4 linked regions of the Tamandua tetradactyla genome follow. The main gene of each other region encodes a partner of the protein of the gene in region 3 in a complex. Links are inferred from orthologs where the notes say so. Each region holds a gene or a part of one and is shown on either strand. Other genes may lie near its edges. The genes, in order: PPP2R2A, PPP2R5D, PPP2CA and PDCD10.

Region 1 (7,124 bases), on a different chromosome or scaffold from region 3:
ATTTAGCTAGACAGTAAACCATACTGGCAAATAAACTTAAAGCAGTACAGGCCATGTTGGTGAAAGGTCACACTGTGGTCTTACTACATGTTTGAACTTAATTCAAAATTCAGTGGATAACTGAAGATTTCTGAGAAGACCAAATTGGGACAGTACTTAACCCCAGAAGGAAAACATAGGACAAGAATCAGCAAATCATGGAAGAAATTACTGTAATCCAGATGAGATACTGAGAACCTGAGCTAGAATGAAAGTAGGTACAGAAAGAGAATGAAAGCACTGATGGTGTAAAAAAACATAGACTTGGCAGTGGACAGTACATGGATAGAGAGAGACAACTTGGAGCCTTTACCAGGAAAGAAACGGATATAAATCATTAACAGAATATGCAAAAGCTATGCTTAAGGATGAGCTAGACATCAGCTCTTTAAAAATTATAATCTAAACCAATGGGGAAATACGTAGTAATAATCCTACTTATTTCGAAACAGCAAGTATTCCTTTAGTAAAATAAACAACAGACTATGGAATACAAATCATAGTATGCAAAATTACTGCAAATAAAGCAGCATAATTTGAAAACTGGATGCTCTCTATCTTTAATCCACTTGTACAGACATACGTACTAGGACAAATCACTGTTTTGATTAAAACAGACATAACAAGCCTCAGCTTTTTTAGGATGCCAAGAGCGCACTGAATATTAAAATAATACTTAACAAACTCAAAAGAAATTCATTATTTAAAGAATCAGTAGCAAAATACAGCAAGTATAAGAGAACTACGACTGACCCACCATATATATCACAAACCATCATTTGATTCAATTTGGTAAATTTAGAACATCAGTTCCTTCTGATTGAAAATAAAATCCATGTGGTCTTTCTGCCTAATGTTTAAGTAAATTATAACCCCCAAAGGGGAGGGTTTTTGTTCAAGATGCCTTATACTCCCAGGGCTCAGCACTTAGGAGGCCCCCACTAGAACCTGATAATGGAATTGAATGAAGGAATGTCTTTAAGTATACAGCACTTTCTTAACTTGGTGGCTATTACACAATAGCACAGAACTAACGATCCAATATTTGAGCGCCTACTATTCAACAGGTAATGGAGTTACAAAATGAGTAACACATGACTCCTCCCATGAACTTAGGATTTATTTTTCTGAACAAGTCAAACACCACAGACTTAGCCAGAAACACAGTACATATTTGTGGGCCTACTGGTGAGCTTCTCAACTTCTGTAAGCTGCTGGTTTCTCATTTGAAAAACAGGTGAGGATACAACAGGAAAGAAATATGAGGGTGTTCTGTCAAGTCTTACTGGTATAACATATGCCAGTTGACATCCCACAGGTTTCACAAAACTCTGATCAGAAACTTCATTAAAAATTATAGTAACACAAGCAAATACAAAGCTGGCTCAACATAAAGTCATCTACCTACCACCAAACCCAACATGCTAGATTGTGGGTCAGAAATATGATCTTAATTGAGGACAATACAACCAAGACAATGAAGAGGTATAAATTTTCACTAGACAAATTTTTTTAAAGTTAAGTACGTTTCTATTTAACCGAATTTTGTTGGAAAATTCCTACTGTAAGATACTATTTCCAAATACTATTAAGATTCAAACTTTATATAATGGTTCTTGATGATAAAGTAATGCAACTACTTAATGGGAAATAATGTTTCCACTGCCGCTGCCTAAGGCCATCTCCTGATTGAGAGCAAAAACATTAAAATTTTTGAAATACATTAATATACAATTCTGGGGGGTGGGAAAGGGATATGAGACTTAAGTTCTTCAACTGATCAAGCCCAATTTCTAACTGCACAAAAACATAAGTTCCCCAAAAGACCAGATATATATTCATAATGCTATTTTCTTATCCACCTAAATTAATCTCTACAAGACAATAAAATGCATACTGTGAGCCAGAATTTCTTCATAGACTATCCCAACCAACACCACACTGCCAAGTTCAAAAAAACCTAAAAATCTTTCCACAAAAATAAAAGCTGCTGTCAATAATGTTCTGAGCTAACCGGTGAAAGCACCTATTTCAACTTAATTATCTAAAAACAAGGTACAAACATTAAAACCATTTATTTGTATGTAGAATGTATATAGCAAGGAAACCTTTATCCTAGGAACCTTAGATTTTTCTTGTGATGGTTTTACATACATCATCATCTACTGCTCCTTTCATTTATTTATTTATTTTTTGCTCCTTTCATTTAATTCAGGAAAATAATAACAAAACAAGGCATAAAAAAACAAAAAAGGTGTTAAAGAGTCAAGACTATTTTCTCGAAAGGTAACTTTTAAAATTGTTCTCCCATTTCTCAGACAATAAACACGAAATGTTCTTAAACTATTACAGACTCAGCTTCAAGGAAATCCTTCAGTAAACAAGATTTGAAAAAATTCTATACTCAAGTTTTGCATTACTAAACACTTTCTTACCTTCTGCTACATCATCTTCTACTGCTCCTTTCACCTGAGAAAAACACCACTGAATATCATTCCCTCCTCCAGCTCCTGGAAAACAACAACAACAAAAACATACCAATTAAAACAGAATTCTGTTCATGTTTACTCTCATAAACACAGAGATGGTATCCATGATTGGCATGATTCTAATAGCCTAGTACTGCCCACACACATAACCACCACTCCACAGTACTAATTTGGAAAAAGATCAGTCCCCAATAGTTGGTTATAACATTGCTTTCAAAAAAAGGAGGAGGAAAAAAGAGCTTTCGGGTAAGAAATATTTAAAGGCATGTACAAACATTAACATTGTACATGTGTTCCAAACTTCCTTCCATTTTTCCCTTCCCCTAAAATGCAGTAAAAGCTTTACATTTAAGCATGACCTACCAGAAAAAAGTAAATACCAAAAGCTTAATAGTTTTTCTTTAAGAGTACCAAAAGCCTGCAGGAAAGTAAATAAGTTTAAACTACCATGAAACATAGAACGAAGAGAAAACTTCAGGAACATTACCGCCTGGGTGAGAAGTAAATGATTCATATGAACCCTATCACCAAAGCGCACACACAGCAAACACAACACTCACCACCCATTTCTCTGCATTTCATTACCAGCAAATCACTGGCTCCAGACAGAGAGAGGAAAAGAAACCGAAATGAATGCTGTTTTACTTGTCAAAGGAAGTTTGTTTTTCCTCCCCCCTTTAGTTTATCCTTCAAAATCTAAAGGATCTTATGAAGGATTTTATTTTTCTATTTTGTCATCATCTTGTGCAAAACAATTTTAATTTCATTTTACTATTCAACGAAGCCAAAGGGCAACTTGTCTATGGCAAATGCAAGCTGATCCAATATTTTTAAAACTTTTTGAAAGGTTTAACTATCTCACATTGAAAAAAAAGTGTGGAAAAACTGGTTGAGTTCCTGAATAGTTCTATTTCACTTCCAAGCACCGAGAAGAAAATCATGAAAATGTCTTGCATGCATAGAGTAAGAAAATCTAGATCTAGAACTGATTCTATTAGATGAAGTTATTTGGCAGCACAAAAATTTTAAAAAGTACAAAAATAATCCTCCAAGCAATTACCTCTCTCTTCCTTCACTCCCATTCCTCACTAAATATTCCAACCTGGTTTTCCCCATACATTCTTTTTTTCCCCAAGCTTTAACCCAAATATCTTTCCCTTTTGCTATTTATATCACTGAACTCCATCACTATTTTAACTAACTCTATGAAACCCTTTTGGGGAAAGGACATCTGCACAAAAGCTAACAAGCAAAACGGAAAGTTTAAATTACATTTTTCATGCAACCTGCCATATTAAAGGCCTTAAAGGGTTAAGATTCAAAAGGGAGATGGTTCAAGGTAAAAAATTGAGCATTGGTCTCAAAAATTTACGTACCCACAGGAGAAAAACGCACGTATGTTCCCATTGTATTTTGACTTCTAAACCACTCTACCTCTCCTGTGCAAAATATAATTGTATATACACCCAACCAAGAAGGTTTGCAGGGGGAGAAATAGAATTAAATGAAGGAAGAGCCATACAAAAAAAGCCCTGGGGGATGGGGGTGGTGGTGGTGGTGGAGGATACACCGGACACCAAAGCAGTACGGACAAATCTGCACTCGCCCCCACCCCGCCCCACCCCACCCACGCCTTACCCCATTGCTGGCCGAGCGCACCCACCCCCCATGCAAGGGTTCCAGCCCTTATTTTAAAAGCCAGTGTGGTAGCACAGCCACGACTCGCCTCACCAGAACCCTCCCCACCCCCACCCCACCCCAACTTGACCAATTCCCAGAAAACCGAAGAGCACTCCGTGGCTCTATGAAACCCAGGCAGTCGCTAGGGGGTGATGGAGGGAGGAAGGAGGAGGAAGCGGTTGCTTGTCAGTGGGCGAGGGTGATTTCTCCTTTACCTGCCATGTTGCGCTGCAAATGGTGACCCTGCTGGGTTCCTCGGGGTCTCTGCTTCCTGAACTCACCCCCCTCACCTGGGGATGGGGGGGTAGAGAGGGCGGATGGCAGCGGATAGCACCTGTGGGGGAAGGGGCGGGGGTTGGGGGAGAAGGAAGAAGGGGCGGGCAGACCAGCCAGCAGGATGGTGGATTTCACTCTGAAGCTTCCCGGCTCTTGCTCTTTCTCCAGCGGCGGCGGCGGCGGCGGAAGCAGCGGCAGGGGCAGGCGACTCCACTTTCAAAATGGCGCCGGCTGGCCTGGCAAGTGACGTCACTCGGCGGGTGGAGCCCGGGGCTCAGCCCAAGGGGCGGAGCGGGGCGGGGTGAGCACTGGAGAGGAGCGGGGGAGGGGCAGGGGAGCGGCCGGGCTGGCTCCCGGCCACGCCCTCTTGGTCTCCCGGCTCTCTCCCCTGTCCCGCCCCTCAAGCGCCTGGGTCCTTCCCCGCCCGCAGCGTCCCCGCCTGCCCGGCGCCCTGGCACACGCGCTGCTGGTATGGTGGTTCCCTTGCGGCGCTCCCTCCGCCGGCTCTTACCAGTCTCCCGCTCCGGCTGGTTTTGCGTAGACTACTCAAACCGCAGCCCATTGCACACCACCGTTTCCGAAGCCCACGCGACTTTCAGGAATGGATCAGTGAAAGGAGCCTGGGTGCGGGGACTCTGGGGCCGGCTCAGCTGTCCGCTTCACGTGCTCACTCGCAGGGTTTGGAGGGGTTCTTGAGTGTATTATATCTTTTTTGAAAATACTCGTGTTGCTACTTAAGAGAGTAAGACTGTGGCTTAATCCTGAAGTCAGTGAAATAAAGGGACGATGACATAAAGCAGACGCGCTGCACAACCAAGGTGAAAATTCGCGAGTCTGAGAAAGAGGCAACTGGACCGGCTCCATCTGGGTGAATTAAATTACCTTCGCATGGGCCCCAGGAACTAAGGCACGAGTCCTTTTCGGAAGCTGAAAGCTAGAAGAGTAGTTTCTGAGTTTGCTAGTAGCAGAATATGGCCAGAAAAGTGACCCAGGTCTGTACAGCAAAAGTAATAGAATCAATAGTTAAGATAACTGGGCCCTGTAGAGTGGCTGCCTGGGTACAAATACTGACTAGGTGGTATCGGGATAACAATTCTATCATATAATAATGTTTTGGAGACTAAATGGTTTAACTGAGTAAACGGTAAACAATAATGATAGCTGCCATTATTATTAGATTTGTCTTGAAAGCGTCTTCAATATTGTTAAGAGGTAGAAAGGGGAAAAGAACACGCTGGAAAAGTAGCAGGTCATCAGCCAAGAAGGGATGTGCAGTTTGGTCAAAGACACCCTAATGATGCAGTAACCAGCCAGGTACTTTACATATCTCACTTGATCTCTGCAATAATCCTGTAAGAGACAGATCCGCATTTTACATATGAAAAACACCTACAAAAACATTAAAACTCTGACCTTAAGGCTGAATGGAGTGATAAGGCATTCCTAGACAAAGAAAGAGAGGAAGATTAATATATTTACACCTCCTCCCCAGCTTTTCCACCTCCTACCTTATTCTTGGTTTCCTAAAAGGTTCAATTGTAAAACAAGTTTCCAAAAGTCCTTCAGATGGAACATATTATGCCCCCTCCAATTCTACATTATTTCTCACTTTATCAACAAACAAACCCAAAATTGAAATCCACTCTATATCTGTTTACTTCTATAGCGATTGATTTCATAATGTATTTCTCTGGATATGCCAGTACCCTTAGTTTTCCTTTTTGTTTTCTCTGCCTTTGTTTGGTAGTTCAAGCCCAGACTCCTCTAGATCGCCATCTTAACCAGAACTCTCAGGGAGAGAAAGTGTAAGGGAATTGACCACTAAACAGGACTGAGATTCTTGTAATAAAGTCACTTTTCTTCTTTATGCTCCAGTTTTTGCCATGGGTAAGACCCTGAAAATGATTTGGTCAATGTAAATAATTTCTTAGAAACCAATAAATCTTGCCTGGGAAGAGGGCTAATTATAACAAAAATTCATATAGTAACTAACTATATGCTGGCCACTGTTCTAAGAATATTACATAGAATTTCAAGGTTACTATATGAATATGGGATGAATTGAGATGGATCTAATTATCAAGGGTCAGTACACTCTGGCACTCTGATATAAGTGACCTGGCACTTTTTGACACTGAGTAATCCCTATGGAGGACCACAAGCTGCTTCCTTTTCTTCTTAGGAAAAGAGGCCAGAATACCCACTAGCCCAAGGTTAAGGTTTGCTCTTGGCAGTTTCCCCTTACTTATCTACATTCTCTCTTCCATCCTTTGCACTCGGGCTTACATCCCCATCACTTCACTGTCAAGGTCATGATCTCCACGTTACCAAAGCCAATAGTTTTCTGTTTTTTTACCTTTTTCTGTTTTATCTTTTTCTACTTTCCAACAGCATTTGAAATGGTGGATCACTCCTTTCTTACTTGTGACTGTTTTTTTTTCTCTTGATATATTATTGGTTTCCCCCCAGTCTTTCTAGCCACCCCGCTCAGTTTCCTTTGCTGGCCCCTCTTCCCAGCCCATCCTCTAAATATTAGGGTGATTTGTCACCCTGGCCTCTGTCTGGGGTTCCCTTCTCTAAGCACACACTCTCTGGGGGCAATTTTATTTACACCAACTTCATGTACACCAGTAACTGCTA
Region 2 (7,346 bases), on a different chromosome or scaffold from region 3:
ATCCTTCCCATGCACCATCACACTATGGAGGCTCGTGTTAGATTTGACTATGAAGAACGGATAAAGCTAAGAGACATAAATGAAGGGTTCAGGATCCTAAGGAGTAAGGGGCCTAAATTCTACAGCTCTGGTCTTCTAGTTTAGTTAAGAGGGGATAAGGAAGAGGACGCTTTCCTGATCTTGGTACAGTATCCTACCTGAATTCTGAGCTCTCCTATTTCCAGGGGGTCACAGCCAAGATTAAAAGCCAGAGTGGCAGGGACGAGAGCCATTCCCTCAGCCAGGGGCTCTCCCAGCTGTCCAGACCCGGGTCCCAGCCTCTCAGACAGGTCCCAGCGAGGCTCCAGGACCTGCATCTTGGCCAAGTGCGGCTGCGAAGCGTTCGATGTCTCTTCTGCCCGGGCGACCCATACCCACTCGCCCTGGAAGAGGCCAAGACCCCGGAGACAGCTCCTGCTCACCCCCAGTGAGTCTCCGGTCCCTCCCAGAACTCCCCGAAGTCGCCGGACTGTGCCAAGAGCTGCGAAGGAGGACACCACCGGCGGGGGTGGGGGCCGGCAGACGTCTTCAGTCTCCGGGCCCGGTCTGGCCCGCCCGCGCAGCTCCGTCACAGCCAGTCGCGTCCCCGGGCCCAGTAGCCCTTGCAATGCCGGCCGCGTCTCCAGCACCCGTGGTCCGGGCGCAGGGAGGACCTCTCCGCGCCTCACCAGTAACTGCCCAACCCGTGGCACGAGCCCGGGCCCCGGCGAGGTGCCAAGCAGCGCCCAGCCCAGTGCCGGAGGCCGCCGCACCGACCGCGCTCGCACCCACGCCCCGGAGCCCAGTGCCAGGAGCTGCAGCAGCGCGCGGCTAACCAGCAGCTCCGGGGGCCCTGAGCCTGAGCCCTGCTCTTCAGTTCCCGCGCCCGGCCTCTCCAGGGCCGCCACTAGCAGCGCGGGCCCTGCCGGGCTCTCCCCTGCAGGTCGCAGGGCCAGCACCAAGCCTAGCCCCGCCGTAGGCCAGGGGCCCCCGGGTGGCAGCAGCACCGCCAACGGGGGCGTTTCGGTAGGGAAGGGCTCCAGAACTCGCAGCACCGCCAGCGCCATACTGACAGGAGTCCAAACAGGAAGGCGAAAGATCGCGGCTTCCGGAGCCAGCAAGCGGGGCGACGCAACGACGTGTGCGCCGCTTCCGCTTCCACTTCCATTTCCGTCAAGGGAGGCGAGAAGAAAGCGGGAGTGGGTCGCGTGCGGCGAGCATGCTCTGAGAGGGATGCGCGGCGCCTTGAATTAATTGATCAGGATGGTGACTTGATGGCAGTAACCATTAACGCGGCGGTTGCGCAGCCTTTACGCATGCGCCCTTTGAGCCTATGTTTACAGGAGTTTACGTTCCGTACCTTTTAGAAGAGTAACGTGCTCTCCGCTTTACAGTTTATTAATTGACCAATGAACAACCAGCGTGTCTGAACTTGGCTTGGTACTGGGATCTGTGGGTGGAGTGTTTGGGGAGTCCATCCTCCTGTGAGCGCCCGCAGTGGAACCGCAGGCACTGAGGTTTGGGAATTGGGACGATTGCAGAAGGAAGTGGTAGGGTTATAAAACTCTGTCTTAGACCTGCTTATGGATATGTAGTGGTTGCTGGCTGAAATACTACATGTGATTCATGTAGTTCTGGAGTGCTTGGTGCTGCCACACCTGTTCCAACAGACATCCTACACAAAACCCACGTTCCAACGTTTCTTGTCCTGTTCATTGTCTTGTTCGTTCTACTCCCACAAGAATGGAAGCGAAGACAAAGCTGCATTGCTCTTTCATCTCCCCCCAACCAGTTGCTCTCCCCCACCAACCTTCACAGACTGGAGCCCATTCCGTTTCTACCTTAGAGGAGGCAGAGAGAGCAGCAGAGCAGGCCTAATTATGGGAGGGGGTCGAAGCTTCTGTCATAAGCACGGAGCACCAAGCCTGCTTCCCACTTGTGCTGTAACTTAAATTCCATCCTTGTGTCCACCCCCACTGCTCTGTACAAGACAGTCAGACACTGGTAAGCCACACATTTGCAATTATTACTATATTTGCACTGAACGTCAGTGGATTGAATGGTGGGAATTTACTTTCTGAACTTAGCAGTCTTTTCTAGCTGCTGCCCAGCTATCTCTTTTCCTTAACAGCTAAACATTGTGAAGCAGTCTTCTACTTTGTAGATTATGCACTCCTGAAAAAAAAAGTTTGAAAGTCAAATATCTGAAAGTTGAATATTAGATGTGCATGTTATGAGAAATATCTGTCCCCAGAAAGGGAAGAAAAAAAAAACTTAAAAAGTTGTTTACCGCCACATCTATACAAAAGTGTTCATGAATTTAAGTACCTGGATTTCATGGATGAAAGTTCCCCTTTGGTAGCATTAAGCTATATGTGGCTCTGTCCCCTGCATACCAGTGGTACCAAGGACTGGGAGAGTGGAGGGGAGGTAGGCAGGCAAGGAAGATACCTGCTTTACACAGAAGCAGGCAAACTCTAGGCCTCAGGGCTGTGATGCTTCTTGGAGTCTTGCAGATGGGTAAATATATCTGGCATCCTGCCTGGAGTCCCATTACCCATATCGACACAAATACCCCTCCACAAATAAATGTCCTTTCCTCCTAGGCTTATCCCCCAGTAAATAATGGCATGCCATCATTTTGCTCACTTTTAAATCATCATTAGTCATAGAAAAGTCAATCAAGTTCTGTAAGTAGCCTGTATTTGCCATCTTTACTTTCCTACTTCTTGCTCACTCTTCAATTCACCATAATCTTGCTTCTACTCCTCTGAAACTCCCCTGGTGAAGATCACCCATAACTTCCCAATTGTAGAATCCATGGTCTGCTGTTTGATCTTTATCTTATTCAACCTTTCTAGAATCTAACACTATTAACCAGTCCTCTTTCCTGAAAATATTTTATTCCCTTTGCTGTCATGACACCAGCTTTCCTCCTACGTCTCTGGGATGTCTGAAGTCATCCTCAACTCCCTCCTTTCCTTTACCACCCCCCATAATCCAGTGCATCATTGTTGGATCCTACATATTGCCCAATTCCAACTCCTCCACCCCCATGGCCACTGTACTATAGCATTGCTCTCCTGAGCAAGGACCACGGCTTATTCTTTTATTTTATTTTATTTTTTTAAATATCAAAAACACCAAACAAACACAAACATTCCTATTTTGATCATTCCATTCTATATATATAATCCATAATTCACAATATCATCACATAGTTGCATACTCATCATCATGATCACTTCTTGGAACATCTGCATCTATTCAGAATAAGAAATAAAACGAAACACAGGCTTATTCTTGATGAACCTTCTCCAATTTCTTCATATAACCAATCTGCTGCTGAAGTGGCCTTTCTGAAACATATGTCTTCAAGCCTCTCCTAGGCTTGTGTAGTTGGTCGATCACATTGTATCTTTTTTTTTTTTTTGCATGTGCAGGCACCAGGAATCCAACCGGGCCTCCAGCATGGCAGACAGGAATCCAGCCAGGATTGCACCACCCTATCACATTGTATCTTAATCATCTGTTTTTACAAATCTGTGAATGCCGCCGAACTGTGCACTCCTTGAGGTCAGGAAATGAGTCTAATGAGTCTTATCCATAAAGTCACTGGCTTGGGCAGGATGGAGGGAAGGGATGGATTTCTTGAGACACTGGCAATGGAGTTGCTTTTCTGTCTTGTCAACTGCTCAAGTCTAGCTGATTCCCCAATCTCAAAACATTTGCAGTAGGAATTGGCGACCCACTTCCCAAAATTGGAATGAAGTCGGGATGAGAACCCTAGATGGCAGCCAGGTCAGGTTCTTCTGCAGTTCCCGTCCAGGGAGGCAGACACCCTCAGAGGTCTCTTGGGACCACTCTCTACTAATTTTGCTCATGCAATTAAGCGCTGCTTTGCTCCGATGAAGGAAACTGCCCTTCATTTTAGGGCTTCTTTCTTTCAATTCAGACTGGGCAGGTTAGCAGAGTGGGGAAAGTGTGAGAACCACTTCTGGAAGGAATAAGCAAAGCTCCAAAGGCTGCGAAGAATGGCCAAGGCCGACGCACACCGTACGCTGGAGTACTGCACTCGGAGCCAAGCCTGGGTTTCCCCTTACCCCCGCCTCCTTCGCTAAGCTCGACCCACTTTAAGGCGGGACCTCCCACTTCAACCAATTCTGGGAGCTGAACCCTGGCGGTTTGTACTCTTTCTTTCCAATGGGAAAAAAAGGAAGCAGCTTGGCTCCAATGGCCAATCCGAGGAGGCGGCGCCGGGTTGTCAGGCAGGTTTGTAAGAGTTCGGGCCAATTGGAGGCGCAGACACCTCTCGACCGGGGCGCAGCGCGCAGGCGGTGGCAAAGAGACGGCGGAGCGGGCCGAGTGCGGCCGAGCAAAGCCGGGGCCGGAGCGGGGCCGCAGGAGCCGGGCTGGGTCCGGACGGGCCGAGATGCCCTATAAACTGAAGAAGGAGAAGGTGAGCGTGGTCCTTTCCCCCGCGCCTCCGCCTTGGGGCCTGCGCGGAGCTCTGGGAGGGGCCCGAGCCAGGCCCGGGACAGCCCAGACTGACCCTCCCGTCTGGCCCCCGCAGGACTCCCCGGTCCAGCCTGTCGCCCCGCGGCTCGCAGCACCACCAGCCTGTGCCGCAGCTGGGACAGCTCCCCTACCTTGGCCGGAACCCATTCCTCTCAAATACACCTCCCACTCTTCCTCCTGCCTCCTATCCCCGGCCCCGGGTAACCTCCTCCCTCCAGATCTGCCCCACTCCCAGGTCACTCCCTTGCTTTTTCGCCCCCGCCCCTTCCTCCCAACCTTCCCCCTCCGCCCCACACCCGTTAGGGACAGCCCCACTCATCTGAGAAAGCACCTCGCTCCAGATCTACCCCCTCCCCCTTGCAGAGCCCCTTCCCTTCTCTTTTCACCGCCTAGATGGCCTCCTTCTCTCTCTGCGCCAAGCCCCCTGACCCAGGAGGCAGGTTTCTCTCTCTTCCACCCGAATCTGGACTAGGCCCCTCCCTCTAGTTCTTCACACACAAACTTGTGAGCCCTTCCTTCTGTGGATGGAGCCTCAGAACGTCAGCACTGGAAACGACTTCTCAGCACCGGCAGTCCAGCCTCTAGTGGGACAGATGAGGGGACTGAGGTCCTGGGATGGGACTTGTCCAAGGTCACACAGACTGCCGGAAGCAGAGCTGCAGTATCGGGTCTCCTGACCTAAAGCCCCCCACTCCCAACCCCAGCAGTTATCAACTGGCTCCCAGATTCATCCTAGACTAGTCATCCTTTCTAATCTGAGCAGGCGCCTCCCCTTATTCCTAATCCTAGGATAACCTTTGCATTTTTAATTTTTGCAGCAGTGCTGGATTTCTGTCTTTCCTGGGTCACACTGTTCTCAAATCAGGAATCGGTCTCAAAGTCAGATTAGTTTTCCTTCTTACCCCCATGGGTCAGCCACCCGTGGACACCCATGCCTTTGTCATGGTGTCTTGACACAAGCCATTTCTTGATGTTGCCTTCTTCCACCTTCCTCTTCTTGAGCCATATCACCTTTCCCTCTTCCTCATCCCTGCTTTTTTCTACCCTCTGTTTCCTGCTGTTGCTGTTGGTCTGACTCAGAGGTGTGGTTCCTTTGAGGTACAGACTCACACAGAGGATGCTAGAATACCAGTTCCAGCCACCCCCAGCTTCTCCTCCCCTGGGACCGGCCCCTCATGGTGGGGCTGGCTCTGGCCTGGTGTTCTGGCTGCCCGCTTTATGACCCCAGAGGTGTATTGCTTTCATTTGCTTTCTGATTGGATTGGCTAAGTTGCTAGGCTGCCATCTCTAGGACCTTATCAATCAAACTCTATCCTGGGGCTATTGGAGATTTGCCAGGCAGCTGTGATTCTGGGTTGTCCCCATAACCTCTTGGCCTGAGGTTTGGAATATGGGTTTGGTGATAGTATAATAGCTACTAAACCTCCTGGGGTGCTAGCTGGGCAGGATTGTGTGCCCCTGTCCTTGGGGAGTGGGCATGCAAGGTGATTGGGGCAGCTTAGCTGTAGATGATGCACATAAAGGTCAGCCACACTAGGGGCTCCTTCAAGGAATGTGGAAGGGAGCAGAACTCAGTTGAGGTCCCCGCCATTGATAGCTTTTACTCTGATGGAGCAGATACTGTCCTTTCCACAGAGAGCTGTTGCCTACTGGATAATTGAAAAGAAGAAAAAGTCTTAATTAGACTTGTGAGGGCCACGGTATAAGTATTTGATTGAGAAAGGGTGTTGGGATCAGGTGCATGCAGCCAGGCATAACGCTGATTCCCTTTCAGGTTTAACTTTCAGCTTGATTTTTGGCTGCATTTGGCCTCCTTCAATAGTTGGTAAGTCCTGAGGGAGGAGGGAGGTAAAAATGAGACTGAGGTTTGCCTGGATGAGGCTGGGCAGAAAGAGTGGCCAGTGAGTAGAGGATCTTCATTGCTCACACATCACTTCTCCTCTCTCCTTCATCTCTCCTAGTCTCAATCCTGGCCATCCTTACAGTCTCCTCCCTAAAGTCTTGTCAGTCTTCAGTTGGGAGTGAACTCTCCCTCATCCCCTCGATTTGCAGAACACTTGATAGGCAGCTTATGGACTGGAATTTATTGTGGACAAATTTTTTCTTCCCCCTTGAGATAAACACCATTTTGGTTTTAGCATCTCCCTTGCACACAGTAGGCTGTATGTGGATAGGTGCTGAGTCAGTCTTGGGGAGATTTTCATCCCTCCCCTTCCCTCTTTTTCTGACCTGGGATTTCTCTTATTTAGGTTCCTGGGTAGAGTATCCCTGTTCCCTCCCATTTTCTTCTTGTTCATAATAACAATAATAGTGACCAACCTTTAGAGTTCTTACATGCCAGGCACTCTGTAAGGGAGGTAGGAACTGTGTATGTCACCGTTTAATGGATGAGGAAACTGAGGCTCAGGGAGGCTAGTTAACTTGCCCATGATTATACAGCTAGGAAAAGTTGGACCCAGAACATAAGGCTGACTCCCAAACCCATTTTTTTAAAACCATGGGGCTCCCCAGCACTTGTGCATGGCCAGGCTGAAGTACATACATACCTGTTTCCAAGACCCAGGAAACAAGGGTGACAGGCCTAGTTTCCCCACATGCACACACACTCACTCCCACACTCACCCTGCTTCAAGGGCAGCAAGAATATCTCTTAGGTACCTTCCCTGAGGGATACGTCTGAGGCATTGTGGTAAGTGCCTAAGGTTGGTGGAGGGGGACAATAAAGAATAAGGAGCTTATGATCAAGTAGAGAAAAAGAGAAATCAAACGTGTGTGCAGATGGGTCAGCCCTGTTGGAGAAGCCCATGACT
Region 3 (7,270 bases):
TCCCGGAGCCTGCCAATGCAAAAAAAAATTTTCAGTAAAAGAGATTTTTTGTTTTAGTAGAAATGCTGTATAAAACCATTTCAAGCTATGCATCCTAACTCATCCCACATACCTAAAAAGCTGCCTTCAAATTAATTACCTTGTAAAGTTGATATAGTTTCAAAAGTTGAAATATTTACAAGCTAAAAACAGCACAAAGGCTAGGTGATGAGAGCCCCCACCTCCACCCCCACAAAGAGTCATTCCATGGAAACATTTATGTAACACTTCAAATATTATTTTCATCCTTTTCGCTTTCAAAACTAAAATGTGGACAAGCTAACTGATCAAAGGAGACTTGAAAACAAGCTTACTTCACTGGTACCTTAGTTTTATAAAGATATGGAAAACAACATTTAGCAAATCCATCAAGCTTCCCTCACCCTACCTCAGCCATCCAGTTTTATCTTCCATGTCTCCAACACAAACCCTCAATTTCCATGGTACATCTCCTTACTGATTCCCACACCACAGTTGTCTCTCCAACTAGATTCAAAGCTCCCTGAGAATAGGAATGATTATTTTTCACTGTTTTGATTCCCCTCAAAAGAGTAAGCAATTGTGGATACCCAAGAGATGTTCAATACTTAAATACAAAGTACTATATAAAACAGAATTGTAAAGTCGCAGGAAATTAAAAGGGATTTTAGAATGCCTGTTCTAAGTATTTCATAGACAGGTAAATGAAGACCAACTGAAGCGGTTGTCCCAAGGTCAGTCTCAACTACTCACTCAGTAACAGAAACCGGACTTTTGGGTCCAAGTCTAACTTGCAGTTGGGTGGTCTTCAGATTATATCATCATTACCTCTCTTCCAATGTTTTCTACAGGAATAACTAGTCATCTAGTCCAATATTGACTTGCAAAGAGTTAGTACCAAACCCCTAAAGTCAGTAAAATCATTATATTACTCAGAAATTAAGACAGGGCAATATACATTAAATAATTTTTGAAAGCCTATTTCAAACCTTTTAAACAAATACCAACCTTATGTGACATAAAAGAAATGAGTCAAAAAGCAACAAAATATTCAGTACACTGCTAACCATTAAAATAAAGCTCCAACAGATGATGTGCCACCTCTAACTAGCAGTGCTTTGTTCAGGCTTGGAATAAACTAAATTTGATTCGCTTAAATTCCAATTATTCACAACATGGGTTCTGAGAAAGTCTGTCGTGGGAGCATATACATTAAACTCATGATCCTAATTTTCACATCAAACCACTAATGAGTCAGCATAACAGCTCTCTAATAACTTTTCACTAATACAAAATGCTAATATGACATTCCACAATTCTGTACTAAAATGAAATGCTGCAAAGTTAATTCTGAAAAGGGAAGTTTAAACTATTCAAAGTGGTGATCCTTTTCTAAACTTAAGAAAACGGAGTTACAAGACTTTTAAAAATACACACAGCTAACACGCGTACAATTAGGCAAACCGTTTCCCCAATCCCTAAGGACAAATAAAACAACTAGATAATATAAACTACAAAGTTTAGCGTTATTAAGTGGACTACACCCAACCCATTTTCAACGTCTTTGAAATTATCTAAATTCCAAGATGTGTTGAGAACACAGTTAAGATTCAATCCGCAGCTATTATTATTACTACTACTAGCACTAAAAAAATAAAATCGAATTAACTTTTTCAACAAAGAGCCACAATTCAAAACCTGCCGCTCTTCCAGTTTATTGCTCATTTTAAAAATGGCAAAATGCCAAGTATGTTAAACTTAGAGAAGGGTTTCACACAACCCAATTTGAGTCAGCATATAAATCACAGATTAAACCGAACCTGATTTCCAATCCAAAAGCTCCTTATGCAGTGTGACTCACCAAAGTCTTCCTTTCTTCCAACTGTAAAGAAGTATTTTATACTCCTCCCCATAATTATCACTTTGACCTTGGTATAAATTAGGTTACAGATTTAAAATTTCTTAAAAATGCACTTTAAATAAGTGTCTGGAGAACACCATTTGGTGAATGTAATCCAAACAACCTGGGATGGTACTAAAGCCCTGTGATCTTTAAGGTCCTAGATCTGGCCGACAAGCTTGCCTTTGGGGATTCTGTGGACAGCACAGCACCTGAGAATTAAGCTTAAGTACAAGTAAAATACTCCTTAACCACCTCACAGTAGAGGCCCAGGCCCCATTCCCAGGCCGCCATACCCAAGTCCCTCTACCCGGACCTTAAAATCGTCCAAGACCTCGACACACAGGGTCTCCGCTCCCCCAGCTACTGTGGTCCGGCTCCAAGGCCAAGAGGCTCAGAACCCCTAGTTTCTGGCGAACGGCGCCATTTTAAGCGGCGGCGGCGACCAATCCTTGGGCGGGAGACAGGGGGCGCCGGGTCCTCCGGAGCCGCCGCCGGGCCGCGCCGGGAGCCGGTCTGGGAGGAGCTGGGGGCCCGGGACGGCTGCCTCCGCCATGTTGCCCCCTCCCGGCGGCCGCCTCCTCCGTGGGCTCACCCCGCGGCGGTTCCCGAAGCTGAAGCCCAGCTTACCTTCTCGCAGAGGCTCTTGACCTGGGACTCCGACAGCTGCTTGCACTCGTTCAGCTGCTCGATCCACTGGTCCAGTTCCTTGGTGAACACCTTCTCGTCCATGATGCCACCCGCCCGAACCGGCTGCCCCTCCGCGCTACTCCCGCGCCACAGCCCGCACACGGGCCAACCGCACACACTGCCGCCGGTTCCCGGGATATTACTGGGGCTGTGTGCGGTTGCTCGACCCTAAAGCTGGTCTGCCGGCTCTTTCCGCACTGTCGGTCACTGGCCGCTACGCCTCCTCCCCTTCTCGCTCTAGCGCCGGGGCTCGGTTCTCTGTAATGGCGGCTGCCCGGCGTGGTGACGTCACGCCCGGCGTCAGACGCGGCGAGGTACGAAGGGGAAAAGGGCTGGGACCCGAGCTGCGCAACTGCAAATCGGACGCTGGCTGACCGCAAAAGCCCAGTGTGACGGTAACTAGGAACCAAGGCGCAGGCGCAAAGTCGCCGGCTGATAAGTGAGGCACCTTCGCTTTTAGGGCGTGGCCTCTCAGAGAGGGTGGGAGTGGGATGGAGTTCGGGGAGGCGGGGAAGAACCGAGTCTGAGCGAGCGCAGTGTTTGCAGAGGCGAGCAGGGCATTTTCCCGAGGTCTACGCCCCGCGAGGCGCCGGCGCCGAGTTCGGCGCAGGCGCAGTCCGTGTGGGAGGGGGGACTCCAGAGCTGCCTGAGTTTTCTCTTGCCGAGATCGGCTTGGTAATACGCCTCAGCGGTTTCCTTGGGAACTGGCGGGCAGATCACGGAAAGGAAATTGCGACCACTCCGCTGGCCCCTCCATGCTGCAACAGCGCGGGAATTGCGTGGAATTCCCGTATCTGTGGGGCCAGGGACCGGGCTGAGATGCAACCTGGTTGGAGTGAACCAGACTCTGGGCGCGGCCGGCAGCTGGTAATTGGGTCACTCGTAGGCGGAAGAAGGTGTACCTGCTGGGGGAGTGCCGCCCAGTGCACCCGAGTGCCCTAGCACACACCTGTCCCCGGGCCTGGGTGTCTCGTCAGGCGTGGTGGCGGGGCCAAGGCTTGGGCTTCTGCCCGGGACTTGGACACACCCCGCGTGGCCTTTCGCCCCAATTGTCCGCCTTCCTCCGATCCCAGTTTTCCCGCTCGCCCTTGCTGTTTCCCAGAGTGGGAGGCCGCGGGGATGGACGCGTCGGTTCCGACCGCTTCCGGATGGTGACAGACGCGGCGATGATCCTCGCTTTTCAGAAAGCCCGGATACCCTAAGACGGGACCCCAGTCTGATTGTGAATCTCTGTGAGGTTTGCGAAACGTGTTCACATTCCGATGTCCCAGAATTTACAGAAATATTTGGCCTTGGAGAGTGCCCACTATGTGCCAGATAACCAACCCTGCGGAGAGAGGGGTCATTCAAACAGTCAAGGGACGCTGCCCGGATGGAGCGTGCATTTTCCCAGCAGTACCGGCTTAAAATGGCTTGAGGAGAGACAGAAGAGGGCTTATGATGCCCCCAGAATCTGAGAGGTAGAAGCTTTGCAAAGGACACGTAGCCAGAAAGGGCAGCCGTCTCCTATCTTCTAGGCCCCCTGCCCCCAACACAGCCAGGCCCCACGCGAGCACGGCGCCTTGTACCGGGGGAGAGCGCTCTCAGCTCAAAGGGCATCCCGACCGACAGCCTGGGAAGAAGGCCTTGGAGTCCCGGATTAGCCAAAGGTGGGACTGAAAATCCTTCATCCAAGACAGTGTTTGGCAAGGCTAACTGGCTTGGCCATCCCAGGCTGGGAATTGCAATTCTGCTTTCCTGTCATGCCTCCCACTACTGCACCCAAAAGAGTCCCTTGAATCTCTGCAGAAAGCTTATCACATACTTACCAGACTGGGGAAAAGCCTTTTTAGACCAAATTCTGACCCTATTTTGCAGTTAACATCCTCCAAAAATAGTCACTTAAGACCAGGTGGAATGAATAAGGAAAAAAATCACCCGTGCCCATGATTAAAAGCCATGCCCAGCGTGCTGTCTCATCAGATCCCTCATCACTGCTCTCTTTCTCTGTGAGAACTGATCCTGTCTGATCGGCAAGAAGCAGGCAGCCACTCAGAAAAGGAACTTGCCCCAGGTAGTGATCGAGATGTGAAACTTCATACTCCCAAGTGCAGGGTGTTGTCCACATTCGCTCAGCTGATCTTCCAAGGGCTGAAATATGGAACAGGGTCCATCCAGTTTCCCTTTGTCTGCAGTTCTCTTACCTAGAAAGGTGAGGGTGGTGTTAGTTTGGTAGATTAGACAAATGTTAAGCACCTACCTTGTGCTAAGATTATGAGTGGATTTTTCTAAAGTACTTTGAAATCCTTGTTGATAGCATAAATGTAGGTGTTCTTTTCTCTTGATGCAGATCTCTTGGCTCACCAACACCATAAAGTGGAGGGAAGATGTAATTATATGTACTTAAGACATCCTGCCAAATAATTAGATGCCATGACTTAACTTCTTAAGGAATGAATTTTAGGAAGCTCTCATTAGTATTCATGTAGTGAAGTAAAGCATACATGATTATAAACAGTACAAAACTAAATTATTCAGAATATTTTTTCCTTTAGAAGAAATCTGGAATATTCTTAACTCTGTGGGACTCAAAGTAACTGATGGATCTGAAAATTCAGTTTGACTAGTTTGAACTTGACTGATTTGACTTCACTGACTCAGTTCTAGAAATGAGGACTATTTGAAACAAAAATTTTAAAGCAAACCAAAAAGAATTGTCCTTTTAATTTCTTGGCAAAAAAGCAGAGAACAAATAAAGCAAATATGGTTTGAGGAACAATCTTTGCTCAGATAACAAATTCAGTATACAGAGAGTCTGAATGTTGCCTCTGATGTTTAAACATGGCTATAAATAAAAACCATCTGATGACGGGGGCAGGGTAGGGGGAGGATAACCTTGAGCAAATGACTGTGTAACAGGCAGGCTTAGCTAAGATATAAAAATTGACATTAAACATAGAGAAAGAATTCTCTTGGCCTTAACTTAGGCCTATTTTGTTGTTGTTGGTCCAGCTCCCTGACCTCTGTACTTACTGAGACACAAAGTAGAGCAGTATAGGTAAGCAATGGCTCTGGAGTCCAGTGAACCTAGGATTGAATTCTGGTTCTGCAACTTCTTAGCAGGGCGACCTTTGGCAAGTCACTTAACTTTTCTGTGTCTCAGTTTTCTCATCTATAAAATCAAAATAGTTGTAATTGCCAAATAAAAGTGCTGTTCTGAGAATTAAATGAAACTGTAAGGGTTAGGGGGTGTATCATAAATACCCTAGATATTATTATTATTTCCAAGTGGTCTGTAATTCTAAATACCTTTTAATGTCAGCTGGAGCCTCTCATTGCCTGCCTTCTACATAATGAAATACTTAGTGGTCTTTGGAAACAGAATGAAAGGATATCAAAAACACGCCAAGTAGAGACAAAGTAGGGATGGGGGAGGAGATTGAAGGAAGGAGAGGTGGAGATGAAACAAAAAGGAACACCATCAAGCAGACATTGAGAAGGCTTGTTGTATATAGGAAGTCATTTGAGAGTAAATCCAAGAATTAATACAGTTGGTCAGTCTCCGAATCTTATATCAGAAAAGTGTGTTATATCTTAAAAGGATAAAATGCCCTTTGCACCAAACCCTTCCAAGCTCCAGAAGCTCCAAATAAAGATCTGAACAATCCACATCTTAGTGGCCCTGATCGTAAGAAACCAGGCAAGCTCTGGCCATGTGTGCCTGCCCAACTGTCAGAAGATTCCTGCATTCAACGTTCACAACAATGCTGTAATGCATTACTATCTATTCCTATTTCTCTCCTTTGTGGTTTTCAAGAAAAAGTAAGTTGATGTTGCCCTTTCAACTGGATTTAGAATTTAATAAATGTGGTCAAAATTTTGTGTGAGGAAATTTGACAAAGATATAATACAGCCCTTTCCCCTAGCTACTGAAGTTTGGCTTGAAGAAAGAGAGAGAGAGAAATATGACCATATCCCCTGGTGATGCCTATGACATCCAAATACCAGTCAGAATTACACGGAAATATTTTTATCTGTTCCAGAAAAAAAAAAACTCAGAAATGAAAGGTGAAGTTCACTACTTCAGTAGGCTGGGTAAACCATAAAAATACTGTCACCAGTTCTGCAGCTTATGAAAAATCCTATCATATATTCTCACAAGCAGTGGGGACAATCAAAGCAATAGGCTGAGCCCCCAGTCTTGGGATTTGTTCATATGAAACTTAACCCCACAAAGGATAGGTCACACCTACTTAAAATTAACCCTAAGAGTCACCCCCCCCCCCCCCCCCCGAGAGAACCTCTTTTGTTGCTCAGATGTGGCCTCTCTCTGCAGCTAACACAACAAGCAAACTCACTGCCCTCCCCCGTCTATGTGAGACTTGACTCCCAGGGGTGTGGACCTTCCTGGCAACATGGGACAGAAATCCTAGAATGAGCTGGAACTCGGCATCAGGGGATTGAGAAAACCTTCTCGACCAAAAGGGGGAAAAGTGAAATGAGACAAAATAAAGTGTCAATGGCTGAGAGGTTCCAAACAGAGTGGAGAGGTTATCCTGGAGGTTATTCTTACGCATTCAATAGATACCACCTCATTAGTCAAAATGTAATGGAGAGGCTTGAGGGAACTGCCTGAAAATGTAGAGCTGTGTTCTAGTAGCCATGTTTCTTGAAGATGACTGG
Region 4 (7,020 bases), on a different chromosome or scaffold from region 3:
GTAAGCACAGGAGATAAAAAAGAATATGGTCTCAAGAAAAGAGGAATACGGTCTAATAATCTATTAATTTAAAACATGCTTTTCAAACTTTTAGGACTAAATTCTTACATTAGAGAATAATATTAGAAAACTTTAGGGATGAGATTAAAGGACAAAAAAGAAAACAAAAAACCCTTACCTTTGTATAACAATTCATTTTGATTCCCAAGCAGTGTTTAACCTTAGAAGTTTCCTTAAAAAACATAAAATATACTCCTAAAAAAAGTGGCTCTTGCTCATCTTTATTGTCTCATTTCAAGGAACTCTATTATTAGGGGGAAAACATTATACTAGGTTTTTGGTTTTTTTGCCTTAAATCATATGCAAATAATAATGTTTTACCTAAAATTTAGGGTATATGCACGTGATCTTCTCTGTTTTGCTCTAATAACCCAGGCTTATTCAAAATCTTAGTAATTAATTTCAGTCTGGCTCCAGTTAAAATGTCAATGTAGGCAAGCAATGTCTCTAGAAAAAATTAGGGGGGAAAAAAAAGTCATGGAATCATAAGTATTTAACAAAAAAGCTTAAATCTCTTTTAGCTTTTCTTAAGAGTATGTTCTTCAAGCAGCTTTCTTCATACATATAACCCCTATCCCACCTCATGCACCAAAATCATTTGATCTCAAACCTTTAAGTCTTGCTTTTTGTGCTGCATACATCAGTGAATCCTCCTGTTAGAAAGAGAAACCCATGTTTCTCAATTATTCTTACTCAATAGACTTTTAGAGTCAGAATTTAAAAATTTAAAAAGCCCAGAACATACTGCATTTGAAATTAATCAAGTCTTTTGGTAAAGAATGATACCCCCAGAGCACCTTCCATTCAGGAGAGACATTCTGTACTTTATTGATTTTTCTTTCTCTTTCTCTTCATATCATGACAACCTCATCGGTATTCATACACAACTAGTAAAAATCAAGAGCAGATTAAACAGTATGCTTTTAATCTAGGTAGGGCTTTATACAAAATTCATAAACTGTCTGCCATATAGTGCAGCTCTCAGTATCAGTAACATACGATCAAGAAAAGTCTTCTGATAATCTGAAATTTAATATGAACGTCAATTTAAAACATGTCAAGAGTTCAAGGTAACAAAGAAATGCCCAAGTAGTATATATTGCCAATCATTTTCTTCCTTATCAGAACGTGGTCTTACTCTCAAGTGACATACAGGAACCCAATCTCTTTCATTGACACAATGAAAAGGATCCAAATCTTGGATACAGGCAAAAAATTCACTACTTTAATACTGCAAACTCATTCATTCCTGATGAGACTCTAGAGCTTATGATAGCTCAGAGCCGACGATCTATATATAGTTGGGATTCAAAGAACATATCAATCTCAAATTTTTTGGTATTTAATTTCTTCTTCATTTGCTTGGTTATTAAGTGATTCCCAACGAAACCCTTTCAAAAGATCTTTTAATAAGGGCTTTGAAATAACCTCACTGCTATTATTATTATTATATGGGGGAAATAACCCAGTGACAGCAACATTCAATTTCATAAAATGATCAAGAGCCGAGCCTAAGAAAGAAATTAAGACCCTAATTAAGGACAACCTATTTGACCACAAATAACAAGGGCAAACAATTTTTTCCATGCCTCACTACATTCGAATACCCACTTTTTCTCCTCTAAAATAATTTTCACAGGGTCATATCACCTATGTGAATTAATAGACTCTCCTGTGGTTAGCAAACATAAGATATGATCCTAACCAGGGCTGCTAAGTTTAGTGGTTACTGTTGCTTTTTCTTCTTTAAAGCTCTTTCCTGCTTCTAACACTTACCTGATCTGCTTATGTACTATCTAAGAGCAGGTGCTGTTCTAAGATCTTTTCTTCTCTACATATTTCTCTGGTGTGTAAATGTGTGTGGGTGGGTGTGTGTAGGAGAGGGGGACTTATGTACTAAGTCATTTAGGATATCAAACACTCAGTAGTATTCAACTTTAAGCTACCAAGAGAATTTTTTTGAGCCTTTCTGTTCTAAAAGGAATTGTGTGTTCTTGAGAAAAATAAAATTCAAAATCCTAATTAAATTAGGAGCATGAAAACAGAAAAAAATAGAAAGCAATTATTCTATTTTAACGACCCTAATTCAAGAAATCCAGATTAAAGCATTCAGACTCTGAAATATGCAATTATCACAATGAAGGCATTTCAGAGCAAAATGTGCTGCAATATGCTACTATGATTAAAAGCCATCATAATCTGGCAAACCTCTGTAACAAAAAGGAAAAAACATGAACTAGACAAGTAGCCTTTTACATAGTTTACTAAAAAGAACAAATTATAATTGTGTCATAGTTACACAAAGGTAGAGGCAACTTTCATCTTCACTTAGTGTTAAAACAGTTTAGTATTAAAACATATTTCCATCCATAAATATTTAATTACATTGAAAGAAAATGCACATGGTTTAATGCAGAGAATAAACTGTTTTAAGACATTCCGTGTTATGTCTGAACCCATCAGAACACATACTAAGATAACCATTTAGTATACCCTCTAGATAGAAAACAGACTCTCACAGTATTTTTTTTTACGCTTGTTTTTCAAATGTATAAAAATTACCAGACACAAACGAGAAAATAAAGAGCAATAAAGTACACCATATGTTTCCACTGTTAGCTGACTCTAGGTCTTTGTTCCAATATACCAGAGCCACTGGAAGGAAAGCATCCATTAAAATGCATTTTTACAGTATTGTTGGCAAAAGTTATACTTCTGGTAGGGTCAGTCGTCTTGACTATTCCTCACTGCCTTTGCTTCCTTAATACAGATCTCTTTCAATTTTAGGAACCTGCAGTACAACCTCCCTGGAAAACAGGTCAGCAACAGGACAATCTGATAAATCAACGTAAAAGGCAGAGGCTGAAGAAGAATGCAAACTTATATTCCTAATGAAGGAGTTCTGAAGTAATTCTGTATCAACGACAAAATTTTTGCTTTTTAACAGCTACGCATCTATCTAGATACAATCCACCCTGTCCTCAATTAGCAAGATTTCTTTCAATTTGGGGATCTCCCAGAACAATTTTAACGCTACAACTCAAAGCAACAACCCTAGCCACGCCCTTTACGCCCGGAGGCAAACCACCTTTTGCTTTCCCCCCGCCTCAGAGTCCAAAAATGTACCTCTTTCACCCAAAAGGGTTTGTACTGGTTTCCTAATACAAGGTAGAGACTCTCTGAGCTGTTCCTTGACATAATTCCTACTGGATGAGGCTTTCTCCGGGGCAGCGTGCGTACGTCCCGAAGCGGCACCCACGCTTACCTCCCACACACCTGCAACCCCTGGCAGGATGCTGGAGCGGATGCTCCGAGGACCGTGCTCCGCCCTTGCTCCAGCTCTCCTTTCTCCCGGGAAACTACAGTCCAGGCTGAGCCTCCGGCTTTACAGGCACCCAAGCCCCGCCTCCCCTTCTCTAGTTGGTGAATTCGGCAGCCGTGGCTCCTCCCCTTGCTGTTCCTACTGCTACCGGGGATGGAGACGGCGGGAAGCTGCAGCCCAGTACCTTCCCGCTCCCTGCACTTCTGCAGCTGCTCCGTCCCCTGCGGGACCACTCTACCCACACCCAGCGGCCTCACACCTGGAGCTGCTTCCCGCCCCGCCCGGGCGTCTTCGTGGAGAGCCCTGGCTCAGCCTATCATCGCCCCGACCCGGGTACAGCTGCTAGGGGTGCTTGGGGACTGGCTGCTCCCTCAACTACCCCGAGGCTTCCGCTCCGCTCACACGTACCCCCACCTCGGGCCCCTCCCTTCCTCTGCACCCTTCGCCCGCCCCCACAATGGGTGAGTCGCTTGCGGGACCGACCCTGCGCCCTGATTGGTGCAGGTGAGAGCTGACCCCACCCTCCGTCCCCTTCCGAGTACCCTGTCTCTTCATCTCACCTCCTCCCGCAAAGGCAGGAAACTCGCTGACTATTGGCTGGGAGTGTCCCCACCCAACGCCTTAGGCTCCTCCGCACAGGCTGCCGGGACTTGTAGTCCGATGGAGGCGGGAATTGCCGGCAAGGCCAGCAGGTGGGACTACGAGTCCCTACAGGCCCCTGCGCGACTCCGGCTGGGCAGGATTCCGGACAACGCCTGGTTCCTCTCGGGTCCTTCCGGCGTCGCCGGAGTGAATTGATCTGGGAGTTGAAGAGGGCTCCAAAGGTGGGAAGTGGAGTCGCTGCCCCAGTTGCCGGTAAGGTGTGGCTGTTCTTTCCGGGTCCTCGTAGCTCCGAGCGGAGCAGAAGGGGCTTCGGGTCACACAGGGGCCCGGGCTGAGGCGCTCAGGCTTGATTCTGGGAGGCGGAGCGGACGAGGTTGGGAGCCGGGCCCGATGGGCGTAAGCGAGGTTACCCTACGCGAGTGGCGTAAAGCGGGTTTGTAAATGCCGCCTGCCCTGTTGGGCCTGAGCGCCTCCAGGAAGTCTCCTCTAGCTGGGGGCGGGAGAGCAAGGGCGAGGTTGGCCTCTGGAACCCCAGAAGGGGGTCTGGGCGGATGTACCTGGGTGGGGTCCTCTGAAGGTGTGGCCCGGGGCGAGGAGGTGAGACTGCTTTAGAAGTGGAAAAGGGGAGGAGTGGAGGAAGGAAGGAAGGGGTGCCTGGGAGGCTGCTCCTCGGGGTGACTCGGGTTATGCCCTTTGAGGGAAGAGGAGAACCGTAGAAGGAAGAGTCAGATGTTGACAGGAATCTGCGGATTCAGTTCCAGTTTCTTGATGTTCCTCAAAGGAGGTAATTTTGTCCTAAGCAGAAAGGACTTACGGTATGTTTACCCTTTTACTGATTCACGTTCCCGTCGGGATGCTGCTGAGGAAGCAGAGTTAAATGACGTGCCCGAGGTCACACACGTAGAGGCAGATAATCTGAATCTAGTCGGCGTCCATTCAGAATTGCCGCTCTCCCGCCCCCCAAATAGCCCATTTGGTTAGGTTTTTTGAAGAGGGTGGAGGAAGTGGCGAAGTGATGTATTTTATGGTTTCTCTAAGAAGCCATTTGAGAAGTGAAGAGTTTTTTGTTTTGTTTTTTCTTTTTTAGCTAGGGTGAAATTCTTCAAAGGAAAGAAAGAATCTGTTTCAAGTTACATATTTGTATTTCCTTTTATTAGAGGTATATTCAATGATATACTGTTTTACTACAGGCTATTTTAAAGGGTATGTATGAGAACAACAGTTAAACAGTATATCCCATCCTTATGTTTGGAGGAATCTTCCTTCCCCTTCCTATCACAGGACTCACTTTACCATCATTTTCAGCATGATGGGATTAGAATTCTTTCATAAAACGACATACAATTTTTTTCAGATATGCAGTATTAAAAGAGTTTAGTGTGCTCGTTACTAGAAAAAAAGATACTCTGCATTTCTTGGAGATAACATCACATTTTATGTTTGGGATTTTTGTTTATCGTTTACCTCATTTTTTGAAGTGGCATTTTTTGAAGTGGGATGTGTGTGTGTATAAATCATAAAACCAGCCTATTATATCTTGCTTTATTTTTTTTAACATCATCTAAGACTTTTTTCTTTTTAATTAATCTTTATTTTACATTAATGAAAGAAAAACACTTTTATTTCATATTGAGCACAAGGTAGTGCGTTTTTTCCAGTCTTATTCTAAAAATAAGAATTCTAAAAATAGAATAGTCTTATTCTAAAAATAAGACCAAGTATGTCCACTTGTAGCCCATGAATATTATTATTATTGGATACTTCTTTAATAGAATTTTAGGAGTATGTTCTTTGACTTCAAGATTTCTTCATAAAGTTTGTATTCAGGAATCAACTAACTATAGGTAGCAGTAATCATGGTTTACTGTTTATAATTTGACCATCGATATATGCTGAAGTTTGAATGCCCTCTGCAACTTTAATAATATGATCAAAAGTGTGTTTAACTTTTAAATGCAAAAACTTTTTCTGCGATCAGAGGTACTCTGTTCCCCTATGATTGAAGTTAAGATGGTCTGGAAATTAATAATGACCTCTAAAATAAAAGAAAGGTATGATACTATAGAATGAAGTAATATCCAGAATAATGCAGCACCATGAATGATAATACATAGGAAAGGAAGAACCAACGAAAAAAAAATAGATGTAAGAGTATGTGGGGATAACTGGTTTAATGCTGTATTAGAAGGGTGCGGCAGTGTAAGTAGACCATAAACTGAACATGAGTCAGTGATGATAAAGCAAGTATGTTTTTAGATGGTATTGTAGACATTTGCTTTTGTTCAGAGGTTGAAGTGAGTTCTCATAGCTTTTGGCATGCAGCTAATGAGGTTGTAAAAAAAACTTTTTTGAGGTAAGTCAGGAAATTTTGGAAATAAATGAAATGTAGTGCACTTGATCTTCATTCAGTTCTAGCAATAACATATCTTTATCACTAAGGTCTAGATAGTTTTCGTATTGTTTCTTGTATGTTGGGATGGCAGAGTAAAAGTTCTCTTGTATGTGTCATCCTTCAGTCATGTGCTGGAGTACTGTGGTCATTTTGTACTTTTTCACACTGGATAATTAAGGGTTCACTGTGTAATGTGTACAGTCATATATTTTATAATCATTTACAGTTTACCAGTGTCCGTATTTCTTACCGTTTTGTGCTTTTCAGGACATCGTTTTTTACAGGACTTAAGGTGTATCTCGTTTATATCTCTTTCTAACTGGATTGTAAGGATGTAAGGTCTGTAAGAACAGGGACTATATATTATTTTATTGTTGTAATTCCTAGTAGGTAGAGTTATTGAGTCCTTGTTTCATAAAGGGAGTGAATATGCTCAGATTGTTAAAGTGACTTGCCAAAGTTCATGTAACTAGTAACTCATGGAACCAAGATATAATTCTGGTCTTCTGACTCCAGACTTTTAGTACTGTGAAGTAAAGATTCAGTTTGCTTAGATTATTTATCTTAACAGGAGAAGAAGACTTAATGTGACTCAAATATTCAAATATTAGAACCTACTCTTACTCTTTGTTTAATGCTGACA

The links.
Region 1: the proteins of PPP2CA (region 3) and PPP2R2A are in contact, whole or in part, in a cryo-EM structure (PDB 9C6B), measured with the Homo sapiens proteins. The link is inferred for Tamandua tetradactyla from reciprocal best matches to the Homo sapiens genes PPP2CA and PPP2R2A. Residues at the interface, in NP_002706.1 of Homo sapiens: Arg89, Tyr91, Val126, Tyr127, Gly128, Asp131, Arg135, Cys266, Tyr267, Arg268, Arg295, Pro298, His299, Val300, Thr301, Arg302, Arg303, Thr304, Pro305, Tyr307, Phe308; in NP_002708.1 of Homo sapiens: Tyr86, Leu87, Lys88, Ser89, Ala173, Asn174, Ala175, Glu190, Asn201, Leu202, Trp203, His204, Ile207, Thr208, Asp209, Arg210, Ser211, Phe212, Asn213, Ile214, Val215, Asp216, Met256, Ala260, Leu261, Asp263.
Region 2: the proteins of PPP2CA (region 3) and PPP2R5D are in contact, whole or in part, in a cryo-EM structure (PDB 8U1X), measured with the Homo sapiens proteins. The link is inferred for Tamandua tetradactyla from reciprocal best matches to the Homo sapiens genes PPP2CA and PPP2R5D. Residues at the interface, in NP_002706.1 of Homo sapiens: Arg89, Tyr91, Arg121, Gln122, Ile123, Gln125, Val126, Tyr127, Gly128, Tyr130, Asp131, Leu134, Arg135, Ala140, Trp143, His191, Trp200, Arg214, Ala216, Leu243, Met245, Tyr265, Tyr267, Arg268, Cys269, Arg302, Arg303, Asp306, Tyr307, Leu309; in NP_006236.1 of Homo sapiens: Ile80, Lys82, Asn188, Pro189, Ala192, Glu193, Phe194, Asp195, Glu198, Asp199, Glu200, Ile288, Tyr289, Glu290, Glu292, Lys332, Val333, Lys334, Lys367, Phe368, Trp369, Pro370, Lys371, Thr372, His373, Ser374, Pro375, Lys376, Ser413, Pro414.
Region 4: PPP2CA (region 3) and PDCD10 share a complex: the UniProt entries of both Homo sapiens proteins name them as parts of the core of STRIPAK complex. The link is inferred for Tamandua tetradactyla from reciprocal best matches to the Homo sapiens genes PPP2CA and PDCD10.

Annotation. Positions count from the first base shown.
Region 1 is NC_135329.1:27,163,412-27,170,535, reverse strand, and holds the start of PPP2R2A (serine/threonine-protein phosphatase 2A 55 kDa regulatory subunit B alpha isoform), read right to left. Parts: upstream 3,017-7,124; 5' UTR 3,013-3,016; coding exon 2,976-3,012; intron 2,550-2,975; coding exon 2,475-2,549; intron 1-2,474. UniProt on the Homo sapiens protein: Substrate-recognition subunit of protein phosphatase 2A (PP2A) that plays a key role in cell cycle by controlling mitosis entry and exit. Involved in chromosome clustering during late mitosis by mediating dephosphorylation of MKI67.
Region 2 is NC_135331.1:100,572,211-100,579,556, forward strand, and holds the start of PPP2R5D (serine/threonine-protein phosphatase 2A 56 kDa regulatory subunit delta isoform), read left to right. Parts: upstream 1-4,334; 5' UTR 4,335-4,450; coding exon 4,451-4,477; intron 4,478-7,346. Other genes in the region: PEX6 (peroxisome biogenesis factor 6), read right to left, coding at 198-1,085. UniProt on the Homo sapiens protein: The B regulatory subunit might modulate substrate selectivity and catalytic activity, and might also direct the localization of the catalytic enzyme to a particular subcellular compartment.
Region 3 is NC_135346.1:13,268,856-13,276,125, forward strand, and holds the start of PPP2CA (serine/threonine-protein phosphatase 2A catalytic subunit alpha isoform), read right to left. Parts: upstream 3,013-7,270; 5' UTR 2,651-3,012; coding exon 2,549-2,650; intron 1-2,548. UniProt on the Homo sapiens protein: Catalytic subunit of protein phosphatase 2A (PP2A), a serine/threonine phosphatase involved in the regulation of a wide variety of enzymes, signal transduction pathways, and cellular events.
Region 4 is NC_135331.1:64,792,537-64,799,556, reverse strand, and holds the start of PDCD10 (programmed cell death protein 10), read left to right. Parts: upstream 1-4,000; 5' UTR 4,001-4,237; intron 4,238-7,020. UniProt on the Homo sapiens protein: Promotes cell proliferation. Modulates apoptotic pathways. Increases mitogen-activated protein kinase activity and STK26 activity. Important for cell migration, and for normal structure and assembly of the Golgi complex.